3 linked regions of the Sus scrofa genome follow. The protein of the gene in region 3 purifies or fractionates together with the protein of the main gene of each other region. This does not show direct contact. Links are inferred from orthologs where the notes say so. Each region holds a gene or a part of one and is shown on either strand. Other genes may lie near its edges.

Evidence for each region. Proteins that work in one complex are often made in the same cells at the same time.
Region 1: the proteins of CCND1 (region 3) and SKP2 purify together in Homo sapiens (affinity purification with western blotting; 3 studies listed by BioGRID, with this or other methods). This does not show direct contact. The link is inferred for Sus scrofa from reciprocal best matches to the Homo sapiens genes CCND1 and SKP2.
Region 2: the proteins of CCND1 (region 3) and HDAC1 purify together in Homo sapiens (affinity purification with western blotting; 3 studies listed by BioGRID, with this or other methods). This does not show direct contact. The link is inferred for Sus scrofa from reciprocal best matches to the Homo sapiens genes CCND1 and HDAC1.

The regions. Positions count from the first base shown.
Region 1 is NC_010458.4:21,497,677-21,501,320, reverse strand, and holds the end of SKP2 (S-phase kinase-associated protein 2), read right to left. Parts: intron 729-3,644; coding exon 515-728; 3' UTR 396-514; downstream 1-395. UniProt on the Homo sapiens protein: Substrate recognition component of a SCF (SKP1-CUL1-F-box protein) E3 ubiquitin-protein ligase complex which mediates the ubiquitination and subsequent proteasomal degradation of target proteins involved in cell cycle progression, signal transduction and transcription.
Region 2 is NC_010448.4:88,777,018-88,780,661, forward strand, and holds part of HDAC1 (histone deacetylase 1), read left to right. Parts: intron 1-1,249; coding exon 1,250-1,388; intron 1,389-1,846; coding exon 1,847-1,988; intron 1,989-3,042; coding exon 3,043-3,135; intron 3,136-3,644. UniProt on the Homo sapiens protein: Histone deacetylase that catalyzes the deacetylation of lysine residues on the N-terminal part of the core histones (H2A, H2B, H3 and H4).
Region 3 is NC_010444.4:3,630,451-3,634,854, forward strand, and holds the start of CCND1 (G1/S-specific cyclin-D1), read right to left. Parts: upstream 2,931-4,404; 5' UTR 2,684-2,930; coding exon 2,486-2,683; intron 914-2,485; coding exon 698-913; intron 155-697; coding exon 1-154. UniProt on the Homo sapiens protein: Regulatory component of the cyclin D1-CDK4 (DC) complex that phosphorylates and inhibits members of the retinoblastoma (RB) protein family including RB1 and regulates the cell-cycle during G(1)/S transition.

The DNA.
Region 1 (3,644 bases), on a different chromosome or scaffold from region 3:
GCCTCAAATCTACTCTATGATTCTCATTCTGTTCAGCTTACAATACCAATAGCTTATTATTCTTGCAATCTACATCTTACAAAGCAGTACTGAAAAATTAAATAGAAGAACGTTCAGTTGCCAAACAGGCTATGAAAATAATTCGCCGGTGATGATTTTTAAGCATGATTCTAAATAAATTTAATAAGAAGGGCACTTGGAAGAGGTGGCTCAAATTTTGCTCTTTAAGCTCTCTTGAAATGATAGGCTCACTCTCCTAAAATTTTAAAAGGTCTACAACTTAGACTCTTACAACTTAAGACTCTTAGGGGTAGAGCAGTGATAAAAGCTTTCAGAGTCATTTTTTCAAAGCAACACTTTGTCTTTTTCTCTCTCGAATGGTTCGCTAATATACTTGGAGAAGGAAGGCAAGGGAAAACCAAGAATAAAAATAGCTGAGTTCTCCAGCAACTGGGCTTCCTGCCTACTTTCCCTGTTCAAAGAAAAGAGGAGACACCATCCTGCAACAGATACTTCATAGACAACTGGGCTTCTGCAGTGTCAGTCGGCATTTGATGCCCCATATCTCCTGGTTCTTTTTGTTGCCGATGGTTGGCCTGGCAATGGTGGTAAAATGGGAACAATTAATCTGTAGATGAGGAAGGGCTTCTTTTAACAGTTGAAGGGTACCGTCTGGCACGATTCCAAAGACTTGTAGTGTTTTTAGTGTGGGAATTTCTCCAAGTTCCCTGGAAAGGAAGAGAGACTTTCAGAGTAGCTGTATCTATGGTAACTGTGTTGCACTAGAGTTACATGACCTCGTTTTTACAATCTGTATCATATCTTATAAAAGGCAAACTGAAGACACAACTTGCAATCAATGATTTGGGAAAATAGCAAAGGTGAATCAACTCACAAGCATGGGCCATAGCTTGGGCCTTAGGAAACACGTAAGCGCATTTTTGTTGAATTTCTAACCACCTAAAAACTCAAAGTTTTATTTAAAATCCAACTACATTTCCTTCCTCTCCATTCTTTTTTTTTTTTTTTTTTTAATGACTGTACCAGCAGCACTCCTGAGCTGCCGCTGAGACCTATGTCACAGGTGCAGCAACACCTGATCCTTTAATCCACTGCACCCAGTGGGGGGATGAACTGGTGCTCTGCAGTGACCTGAGTCACAGCAGTCGGATTCTTAACCCACTGTGCCACAGCGGGAACTCCCCTTTCTCCAGTCTTGATTTATACTGACAAGTGTCACTGTGTTGTGGGGAGAAGCCAGCAAGCTAGTGATGGTAAAAGTAAATGCTGGAGTCACCAAAAGGTGCGTGCAACTTGAGGATGCGGACTTGACCTTTATTTGAACGAGGCCTGCCCTCTCAAAAGATGTGAGCAGAGTTGTTAACTTTTAAATACTGGTGAATACGCAACAGGTCCATTATATGCAATGAAACCTAACAGGGATTTGACAACAGTATTTTATTTTATTTTTTTAGGGCTGTACCCACAGAATATGGAGGTTCCCAGGCTAGGGGTTGAATGGGAACTATAGCTGCCGGCCTAAGCCATAGTCACAGCAACTCGGGATCCGAGCTGTGTCTGTGACCTACACTACAGCTCATGGAAACGCTGGATCCTTAGCCCACTGAGAGAGGCCAGGGATCGAACCTGTGTCCTCATGGCTGCCAGTCAGATTCGTTTCCGCTGAGCCACAACAGGAACTCCTGACAACAGTATTTTAGACAGGGTCATGTGTTGGGTGCAGACAGAGGAAATGGTCATTTTCTCTACGTTACCATTTCCCTCTGTCACATGTAACCCAGTCCTCCAAGGAGGTATATCACATTAGGGGAAATACAGTTCTGTCAACAGTGAGATTCTGGTTGACAAAAAAGGGAGCCTGTTTTCCCAAAATAAATACTTTCGGGTAATGATTCTTTTTTCTTAACCCAGATCTGTGTGCTTAGAAATTCACCTCTCTGATCTGTATTTACTCTAGGTTGGGACACATAGTACAAAGTCTCAGGAAAGGGAATATTTAATTTTGAATTTCAACAAAATCCCACTGCAGATCAATGAGCGGATCAATGACCTAGAATTAGAAGCATCCTTTATATTTTTTTTAAATTTTATTTTATATTTTTGGCCTTTGAGGGCCGCACCCACGGCATATGGAGGTTCCCAGGCTAGGGGTCAAATCGGAGCTGTAGCCACCGGCCTACACCACAGCCACAGCAATGCAGATCTGAGCTGTGCCTGCAACCTACACCATGCTCATGGCAACGCCAGATCCTTAACTCACTGAGCAAGGCCAGGGATCGAACCAGCAACCTCATGGTTACTAGTCGGGTTCATTAACCACTGAGCCATGACGGGAACTCCAGAAGCATCCTTTACATTTTCATACAGCCAGTAATAAAAAAGTTAAACCTTCCTTCTAATACTTCTCACCTCACCTCCAATCTTTCTTCCTTTCAGCTGAGCATGTGTATCAATGACCAAGGCATCTTTGTAAGCCTAGCTCAGAGCATGTCCTTCTCCTACTCAAAAGCCTTTGATGCTGGGAGTTCCCGTCATGGCTCAGTGGTTAACGAATCCAACTAGGAACTGTGAGGTTGTGGGTTTGATCCCTGGCCTTGCTCAGTGGGGTTCAGGATCTGGCGTTGCCGTGAGCTGTGCTGTAGGTTGCAGATGCGGCTTGGATCCCGAGTTGCTGTGGCTGTGGTATAGGCCAGATGCTACAGCTTCGATTGACCCCTAGCCTGAGAACCTCCATATGCCGCGGAAGCAGCACTAGAAAAGGCAAAAAAAAAAACCAAAAAGCCTTTGATGCTTCCCTCTGTTTACAGAATGCAAACCGTTCAGTTGACCTTAAGACCTTCCATGCTAAATCTGTTCTTCCCATCCTCTCACTTCCCCTCTTGGGGTATTTATTCTACATTCAACCAAGTGTCTTAAACATTATAGATGCTTAATATATATCTGCTGAGTATAAGAAAGAAGGGACATTTAGGAAGTCAAAGTAGTATTCAAACAAAATAAATGCTTGGTGTTCCTAAAGGGGGGTGGGGAGGGAGTGCACAGGAAGATCCACAGGTTGCAAAAGACCAAAAAAAAAAAAAAAAAATCAGCAAGAACAAATTGCTGTTATTCTCGAAAAAAGCTAATCTCTGGAACAGAAACAGGAGTATAAAGAAAGGTCAAAATGCATAGATGTTTATACCTATTATCACTTAAGAGGAGAGCAATCCTGCCCCAACCTTAAATCCTTCTCATGGGAAATCTGAGTATATGGGAACTTTGGAATAGCCAAGAGAATTCTGCTTCTGGGATCTCCAGAGAAGCCAAGCTGTTAAGGCATTTAGCAGCAGACAGTATTTCAAAGACGAAATGATAGGTGGGAGTGAGAAGAGGAGGGATGGCAGATGAAAGAAGAAGAAATGTTCCTGCAGCAGCACTGGGAAGGAGCCTTGGCGAGGAAGGAAATCCTCCCAGGCTCTTGGAAGACACTCAGGTGTTTGACGTGAGAAAGGAGTCAGCTGGGCACCACGGGCTGGTGGACCAATGATCAGTCCCAAGTCAAAAACCAGAAAAAGTCTTTGACATTTTAAGGAGACACCCCCTGCCCAAAAGCCTCTTGTATGGGTATCACCTACGACACAGCA
Region 2 (3,644 bases), on a different chromosome or scaffold from region 3:
TTGCCTTGCTCAGTGGGTTAAGGATCCGGCATTGCCGTGAGCTGTGATGTGGGTGGTAGATGCGGCTTGGATCCCGCGTTGCTGTGGCTGTGGTGTAGGCCAGTGGCTACAGCTCCGATTAGACCCCAGCCTGGGAACCTCCATATGCCACTGGAGCAGCCCTAGAAAAGGCAAAAAGACAAAAAAAAAAATTATATATATATATATATATATATACACACACACTCCTCTCGCCCTCTTACATCTTGCTGTCTGAGATGGCCTAGACTCTCTGTGAAGTGTGTTTCTCCCAGCGCCGCTCTCTCTTGAGATGGCCTACACTTTGTCTCTAAATAAATCTACTTCTTACCTATCAAAAAATAAAAACATAAGAAAAATATATATTAATCACGACCCACTAAACCAATTTTAAGGCCTACTAGTAAGTTTGTGGTAGCTTCATTTTGTACCACCTTCATTTTGGAAAACAGTTTTTTAAGGAGATCGTGCTGTGATGCAGTAGATAAGAATCTAGATTCCGAAGTTTCCGTCATGGCTTAGCAGTAACAAACTCGATAGTTTCCATGAGGACGTGGGTTAGATCCCTGGCCTCGCTCAGTGGGTTAAGGGTCTGGTGTTGCCATGAGCTGCAGTATAGGTCGAAGACTCAGCTTGGATCCCATGTTTCTGTGGCTGTGGTGTAGGCCAGCAGCTGTAGCTCTGATTCAGCCACTAGCCTGGGAACTTTTGTATGCCATAGGTGTGGCCCTTGAAAGACCAAAAAAAAAAAAAAAAACTGAAAAAAGAATCCGTCTTTGGCCTAGGAACTTCCGTATGTCATGGTTAAGGCCGAAAAAGAAAACAAGCAAACAGAATAGTTTGTTTTTGTTTGTTTTAATTTTTTATGGCCACTTCCACGGCATATGGAAATTCCTGGGCTAGGAAACTTCGTCCTGGCAGCTGTAGTAATGCAGGATTCTTTAACCCACTGCGCCAGGCTGGGGATTGAATCCACGCCTCTGCAGTGACCTGAGCCACTATAGTCACATTTAACCCACTGTGCCTCAGTAGGAACTTCAAAACCAGTTTTTTGAGTAGCCAGTATCATGTTTATTCCCTGTTGGAATAGGGCAGGGGGAGAGGACTGGCTGGTGAATTGTACAGTGTAGCTGAAGAGGCAGGTCTTCCTCTTACTGGGCTCTCTTGGCTTCTGGGGGGAAGGGGGAGATTGGCTTGGTAACAGTCTTGTGATCTTTCTTCCCACGCCCAGCAAGTGCTGTGAAACTTAATAAGCAGCAGACGGACATCGCTGTGAACTGGGCTGGGGGCCTACACCATGCAAAGAAGTCCGAGGCATCTGGCTTCTGTTACGTCAATGATATCGTCTTGGCCATCCTGGAACTGCTAAAGTATGCCTGCCTGGCCTTGTCTCTTGGAGGAGCACCTTAGGCCAGGTTCCCACTTCCCTCTCCCCTGGGCTTGCCTCCCTAGTTTGCTTTTCCTAGCGGTGTGCTGGCTAGGATGTGTTCGGTGAGTGTCTCTGGCCATCTTCTTCTTGACGGGGTCTTGATTTGATCTGAGCCCACGGCAAGATAGGGGCAGGCGCTGCTCAGATCCTGCCTCCAGAGTGTCCCTGTGTGGCCGGAGTTGACCCTGGCTGTAGAGTAGGAAGATTGGACTTGGTCGCCTTGGTCAGGCCTCTGGAGACACCCTGCCGCTCTTCCACCTTCCTTCAGCCAGTTTCTACGTCTCTGGTGCTTAGAGATACCTGAGGGAGGCAGCCAGCCCGGTAAGCTGGGACCTGGCGCCCTTGGCGCGTCCCACTCCCAAGGAGCCCCCAGACCCCCTGACCCCCTTCTGATCCTAGGTATCACCAGAGGGTGCTGTATATTGACATTGATATTCACCACGGCGATGGCGTGGAAGAGGCCTTCTATACCACAGACCGAGTCATGACTGTGTCCTTTCATAAATATGGAGAGTACTTCCCAGGAACTGGGGACCTACGGGTGAGAACTCCCTTTAGGGGCCAACCAGCTCACCCTCAGCTGCCAGCTCTAAGTCTCCTATCTCATGTCACCAAAAACCACTTCCTGCCTCTTCTGCCGTTCAGAACATCACAACCTAGCTTGGGACACCTGCTATGATCTCTTTCCCTTTCTTATTCTGGAGGAAAGGAATGATGGTACATGAAGCTTTGGGAGGGATGGGGGTCTCCTGACTCATTGCACTTCCTCCTGGCCCCAGCCGGGTTGCATTACACTATTCACATATCCAGAAAGCTTGAATTCCAGGCTAAGAAACCTCAGGTTCTATCCAATGAGCTAGGAATTGGGACCTTTATGGACCATCTCAGGGGTTCTTAACATTCCCTTTGATCATCTGACTGAAAGCTCTGTACTGTCTCCCTGGGAAAGTACATGAAATTTTACATCTGATGGCAGATAGTTTATAGCACCTCCCCTTAGTGAAACCTATCCATGGACCTCTGGATAAGAATCCTTCAAAGCTGATTCATTTAACTGTTCTGCTTCTATTAGCATGAATACAATGAAACCAGCCACTTTGCAATACCAGTAGCCCTTGGGTGAAAAAGTGGCACTAATTCAGTTGTTTGCAATGGCAGGCCTTTGAATAATTGAGCATTTACAGTTTTGAAGAATTCTTCCCTTTCTGCTTTCCTTCTCGAGAGAATGGGAGGTAGAGGAGTGAGCATGCAAGCTCCCTGGCAAGGGAAGGGTTGTTGTGGGATGAGTGTTATTTTTTGTGGTCCAGCCCCCAGCCACCTTTAATCCAGTCCAAAGGGAGAGGTCTTGTGCTGTGGGGTAGGATATTCAAATCTCTGGCCCATAAATGGCCTCAGTGGTGTGTCCAGAGATGTGAGCTAGACTTGCCCTTGAGGGGAATGGTACTGACCTGCTCTGTCCCTGGCCCACCTCATGGGCCCAGCGTCTCTCTCTTAGAACCACTGCCTCCTTCCTTAGCCTTCCAGCCCCCATCCTTGAACTTCCTTCTAGCTTCATCTTTGAGTTTTACTTTAACTTTACTGTCCCTCTTGATTAGGATATTGGGGCTGGCAAAGGCAAGTATTATGCTGTTAACTACCCGCTCCGAGATGGGATTGATGACGAGTCCTATGAGGCCATTTTCAAGCCGGTAAGTGGCTTACCCAACCACCCTGGGCTATAGATGGGACTGATCTAAGGGAGGGGTAGCAACCCCCTAACATACTTCAGAAATCTCTCCCTGCTGAGAGGCTGGTTGGAAGTGAGATGTGTTTCAGCCCTTGTCTGCATGCTGCACGGCCAGTCAGGGGAACGGAATTCATCCAAATAGTTATCGATGCCGTCTCTGGAGCAGGCTCTCTGTTGGATCCAGGAATATTTAAGACAAGATCTATGCCCATGAAGACCTCACAGTCTATGGTATGGGAGGCAGGCACATCCCCAGAAGCATGTAGTCAGTGCTGTTTTTGAGGGATGAACAGAGGAGTGAGAGAGAAACTGCTTCCTGAGCTGAGGAAAGGGTATTCACAGGGGTGGTGATGTTTGAGTGGACATTGAGAAATGAGTTGCCCAGGTGAAGGAGGGTGGGGCCTGGAGGGGAAGGGTGGCATTCAGCAGAGGGAAGCACACCAGCAGCAGCACAGTGGTGCCAGTATGTAG
Region 3 (4,404 bases):
CACAGAGGGCGACGAAGGTCTGCGCGTGTTTGCGGATGATCTGTTTGTTCTCCTCGGCCACCGGCATTTTGGAGAGGAAGTGCTCGATGAAGTCGTGCGGGGTCATGGCCGCCAGGTTCCACTTGAGTTTGTTCACCAGGAGCAGCTCCATTTGCTGGGGAAATGGGGGGACCGGGCATAAAGAGAGGCGCAGGCATGGATCCCAGTGGGACAGGGGGCGGGGAGAAAGGACTGGGGGGCGTTGGAGGGTCCGGGACCTGGAGGGACAAAGCGCGACCCCACATCTATACAGGAAGGGTGTCGCCGGCAAAGGCTCCTGCGTTTAATTAAGCCGACCCTTCCTCGAGTGGGGACCAGAAGACCGCCCACACCTGGAACGCGAGCCCGGGACGTTGGCGCAGGCTCCGCGAGGCTGCCGCTAGAGGGCGCGCGTCGCCCACTTTTCGCGGCCTTAGGGAAGCAGACGCGGGGGGAGTCGGACAGAAAGGGTGAGGCGGGGCAGCCAGGATGCGGGGCGGCGAGGGTCTCACCCGCTCCCGCCCGCTCCGCGAGAGGGGCCCCACCAGCGTGGCCGTCCTCTCCGGGGGCCGAGAGTGTGTCAGCGGCCCGCCGGGACTGCCTGCTCCCCGCACCTCCCCCACCCCCGGGGTCCCGCGGCTAACGGAGGGTCCCGGGGCGGTGGGGGTCCCAGGGTTACCAGCAGCTCGTCCGGCCGGATGGAGTTGTCGGTGTAGATGCACAACTTCTCGGCCGTCAGGGGGATGGTCTCCTTCATCTTCGAGGCCACGAACATGCAGGTGGCTCCCAGCAGCTGCAGGCGGCTCTTTTTCACGGGCTCCAGGGACAGGAAGCGGTCCAGGTAGTTCATGGCCAGCGGGAAGACCTCCTCCTCGCACTTCTGCTCCTCGCAGACCTGCAGGGGCACCGGGGGCCGTGACCGCCGCCGCCGCCGGGAGCGCCCGGCCCCCTCTGCGGAGACTTGGCGTCCCCCGCCCCGCTCCCGCCAGGGTTGGCTTCGGGTACCCGAGCGTGCGGAGGGTCGGGGCAGGGGGCGGCAGGAGCTTCTGCCGACGCGCCCCCTCCCCCGAGAGTCCCTAATGCCCACCCACCACGAAACTGAAAGGGAAAGTCCCCGGGAGGCTGGCACAGTGGAGCGGGAGCGGGCACTGCTGGGCGGCGTGTGCCGCTCGCGGGCTGCGGGTCCCCGAGACCCCGGCCCGCGTGGGTGCCTCGGGACCCTCCAAGCTTGGGGTGGGCACCAAATGGGGTGCAGGGCCGTGGGGCGGGCCGTGGGGCTGGGCGCCGCGCTCGCAGCGCCTGCGAGACACAAAGGTGGCGTCCCAGGCCGCCGAGCCGCATTTCCCCAGACGTCATCTTTTCAAAAAATATTTAAAAATATAAAAAAAATAACTGGGTACATAAAAAACCCCTGAAAATGACCCTCGGGCGGTCCTTTACCCGGGCCGGGGGTCGAGAGCTCGCTGCAGGCTCAGGGGAGAGCCCCAGGAATTCGAACTCGGAGCCCCCCTCCCCCTGGGCGCGGGCGCCGTTTCCCTCTCGCAAGGGCACCACGCCGCACTTTCAGAAATTATTTTAAAATACTTGCGGTGCCCGTAGGAGCCCACTGAAGGCCTGAAAACGTGCCCCGGGCCCCCGGCTCCCTCCACACAGGTCCCCCAAGTTGAGACCCCTGCAGATGAGAGTCAGCCCCCAGCGTCTTGGGGGCCACACGACCTTGCAGCCCGGCGTGCTCTCCGGCCCAAGCTGGCCTTGCGGGGCGCCCCGGGACTCGCTGCTTTAACAAAGGGGCCCTCTTTCCCGAGTGGGGTCCCCGCACAACTGCCCGAGTTCTGTCCCCGCGCCCCTCCCGCCGGTTCCCGGTGGCCGCGCGGCCCCTCGCGGCGGCCCCAAGCGCCTCGCCGGTCGCTCCCCGCCCCCACCCTGCCCCCAATTATTAATAAACACTTTTGCTTTGCAATAAAAGAACAAAGATGGCGCATAATACTGGCACGAGTGGCCCTTGCATACGTGTCCATGGATATTAATTTAAAAATCAAATCTATGCCCCCTCCCCCTGGAGCTGGAGATTCAGCGGCCGCGCGGCGGGGAGAGGAGGCGCAGCGGGGCTCGGGCGCAGGCGGGGGCTGCGCGGTGGCGGTCCAGGCGGGGGCTACAAAGGGCGCCCAGCCTGCGGGCCCACACCCTGAAGCCAACTGGGGTGCCCTTGACAGTGGCTTTGCCCGAAGGTACACGTCTTCGACCCCCCCCCCCACGAAGGGAATTTCTAATGACCCCACCCCCACTTCTTCCTCGTTCAAAAAATACCCACAATATCTATATATTTTGGAATTACGATTCCTAGCAACACTCCAGCAAACTTCAAAGTTGGGGTGAGAGAGAAGGGAGGGAGATGAGTGGCAAAGAAATGTGGGTTTGCGCAACAAGTCGCAGAAAAGTGCTAAGAGAGCCGCCCGAAGCCCCGCACCTCCAGCATCCAGGTGGCCACGATCTTCCGCATGGAAGGCAGGATTTCCTTCTGCACGCACTTGAAGTAGGACACGGAGGGCGAGCAGGTCTCCTCCGCCTTGAGCATGGCCCGCAGCACCCGATCGTTGAGGAGGTTGGCATCGGGGTACGCCCGGCGGATGGTCTCCATCTCGCAGCACAGGAGCTGGTGTGCCATGGCTGGGGCTCTGCTAGGCGGCTTGGGGCGGCGGTGGGTCCCGGGCTGGGTCCGCGTTCGGCTTTAGCTCCTGCTGCCCCCGTGCTCCCTCGAGCTCTTCTGCCCCTCGCCGGAGCGCGCGGACGCTGCTGCTCGCTGCTACTGCGCCGACAGCCCTCTGGAGGCTCTAGGACTTTGCAACTTCCAACAGAACTCCCCTGTAGTCCGTGTGACGTTACTGTTGTTAAGCAGAGATCAAAGCCGGGCAGAGAATGGGAGCGGGAGGGAGGGGGGGCGGGCTCAGGGGGAGGGGGCGCGGGCGCCGAGCGCCGGGGAGCGGCGAGGGGCAGAGCCCAAAAGCCATCCCGGAGGCGCCGCGCCTGCCCTAAGCGGAGTTGCCCCCGAAACTTGGTTTTCATAGAAACGCAAATCGCCCCGCGGGGAAGAGGGGTGCAGGGGGGTCCTGTCCACCCCGAGTGGGCCCCTTAGGATTTGGGGGGTTGTGTATAGGTGGCTCTGCAGAGGGGGACGACTAGGAGGGCGGGCAGGCCACACGCAGCCGGGCAAGACCGCATGGAAGGGGGACTCTGGGGTTCGGTGACACCCTCTACCCGAGCCAGGAGAATGGGTGCATTTCCGAAAACGCCACGAGGGCACCCACGGGCGGAGAGGCAGCCTAGGAATCTTAGCTTCTGTGTCTTCTTTCATTTTCATCAACACGTGTAAATTTCAGGAACCATTTAACATTCAGGGACGCAGAGCCGGCAACCCTTGTGGAGGCTTCATTCCGGCACACAGGGGGGTCGTTGCAATGCCCGAGGGAGGAACCCTAATGGTTAAGCATATTTCAGCCTAGCATGCGCTCGCTCAAAAATAAAATAAAATAAATGCCCGAAAATTCCAGCAGCAGCCCAAGATGGTGGCCAGCGTTTCCTTCATCCTGTCCTCCGCGCCTGGGGGATCTGCAGGCTGTCTTCCCACCTTGGCCAGTCCTTTCTTGCGGGGGTTCCCCAATCCCCCCATCCTTGCCCTGTCCTGGCAATTTAACAGCTAGAAAAACACCCTGAAAGGAAGGCTGCAAAATACTGGTCTCTGTCCTGCCTCATTTTTAAAAATTAAAAATGAAGTTAAATCCCTGGAACTACTAGTCCCCTCTCCGCCTGGGACGAGACCACCGGAAGCTTCCTAATTGGTTTTGTTGGGGGTGTGGACCTCTCTTCACCTTTAGAATTTGCCCTGGGGCTGCATTCGTGAGCCTGACGGGGATGGCAGGGGCTGGCAAAGAGCAGAACAATTACAGGTTACAGAAATGGCTGTATTGATCTGATGATTTTAAACAAAACCTATGTATCTTCGTGGTTATACAAGAGTCCCCAATATTATTCCAAACTTTTAAGACATATCAAAGAATATATGACGTTTTTTAAAGTTAAAGATTCAGGCTCTTCTTCGGTGCTTATTTTTAAATTGAAAGAACATTTTACGCATACTTCACTTTTTATTTTTTTTAGTTTTTACACTACCTGACCCCCATTAAGAAAAATGTTCATTTACTCCCCTCAGTATAGTTTGGTGTCATCAAACCACCATACACCCTAAGGTTAAAGGCTCAAAGAAAACTTATTAAAAAGCCCCCTCCCCTTCGCAAGGGCGCACGCAATACCAACCCCCCTTCAAGGGAGGGTTCTTCCCGCGCCCCCTCCCCGCCGAGAATTAGGGTTTACTAATATTCCAGGTCCAGG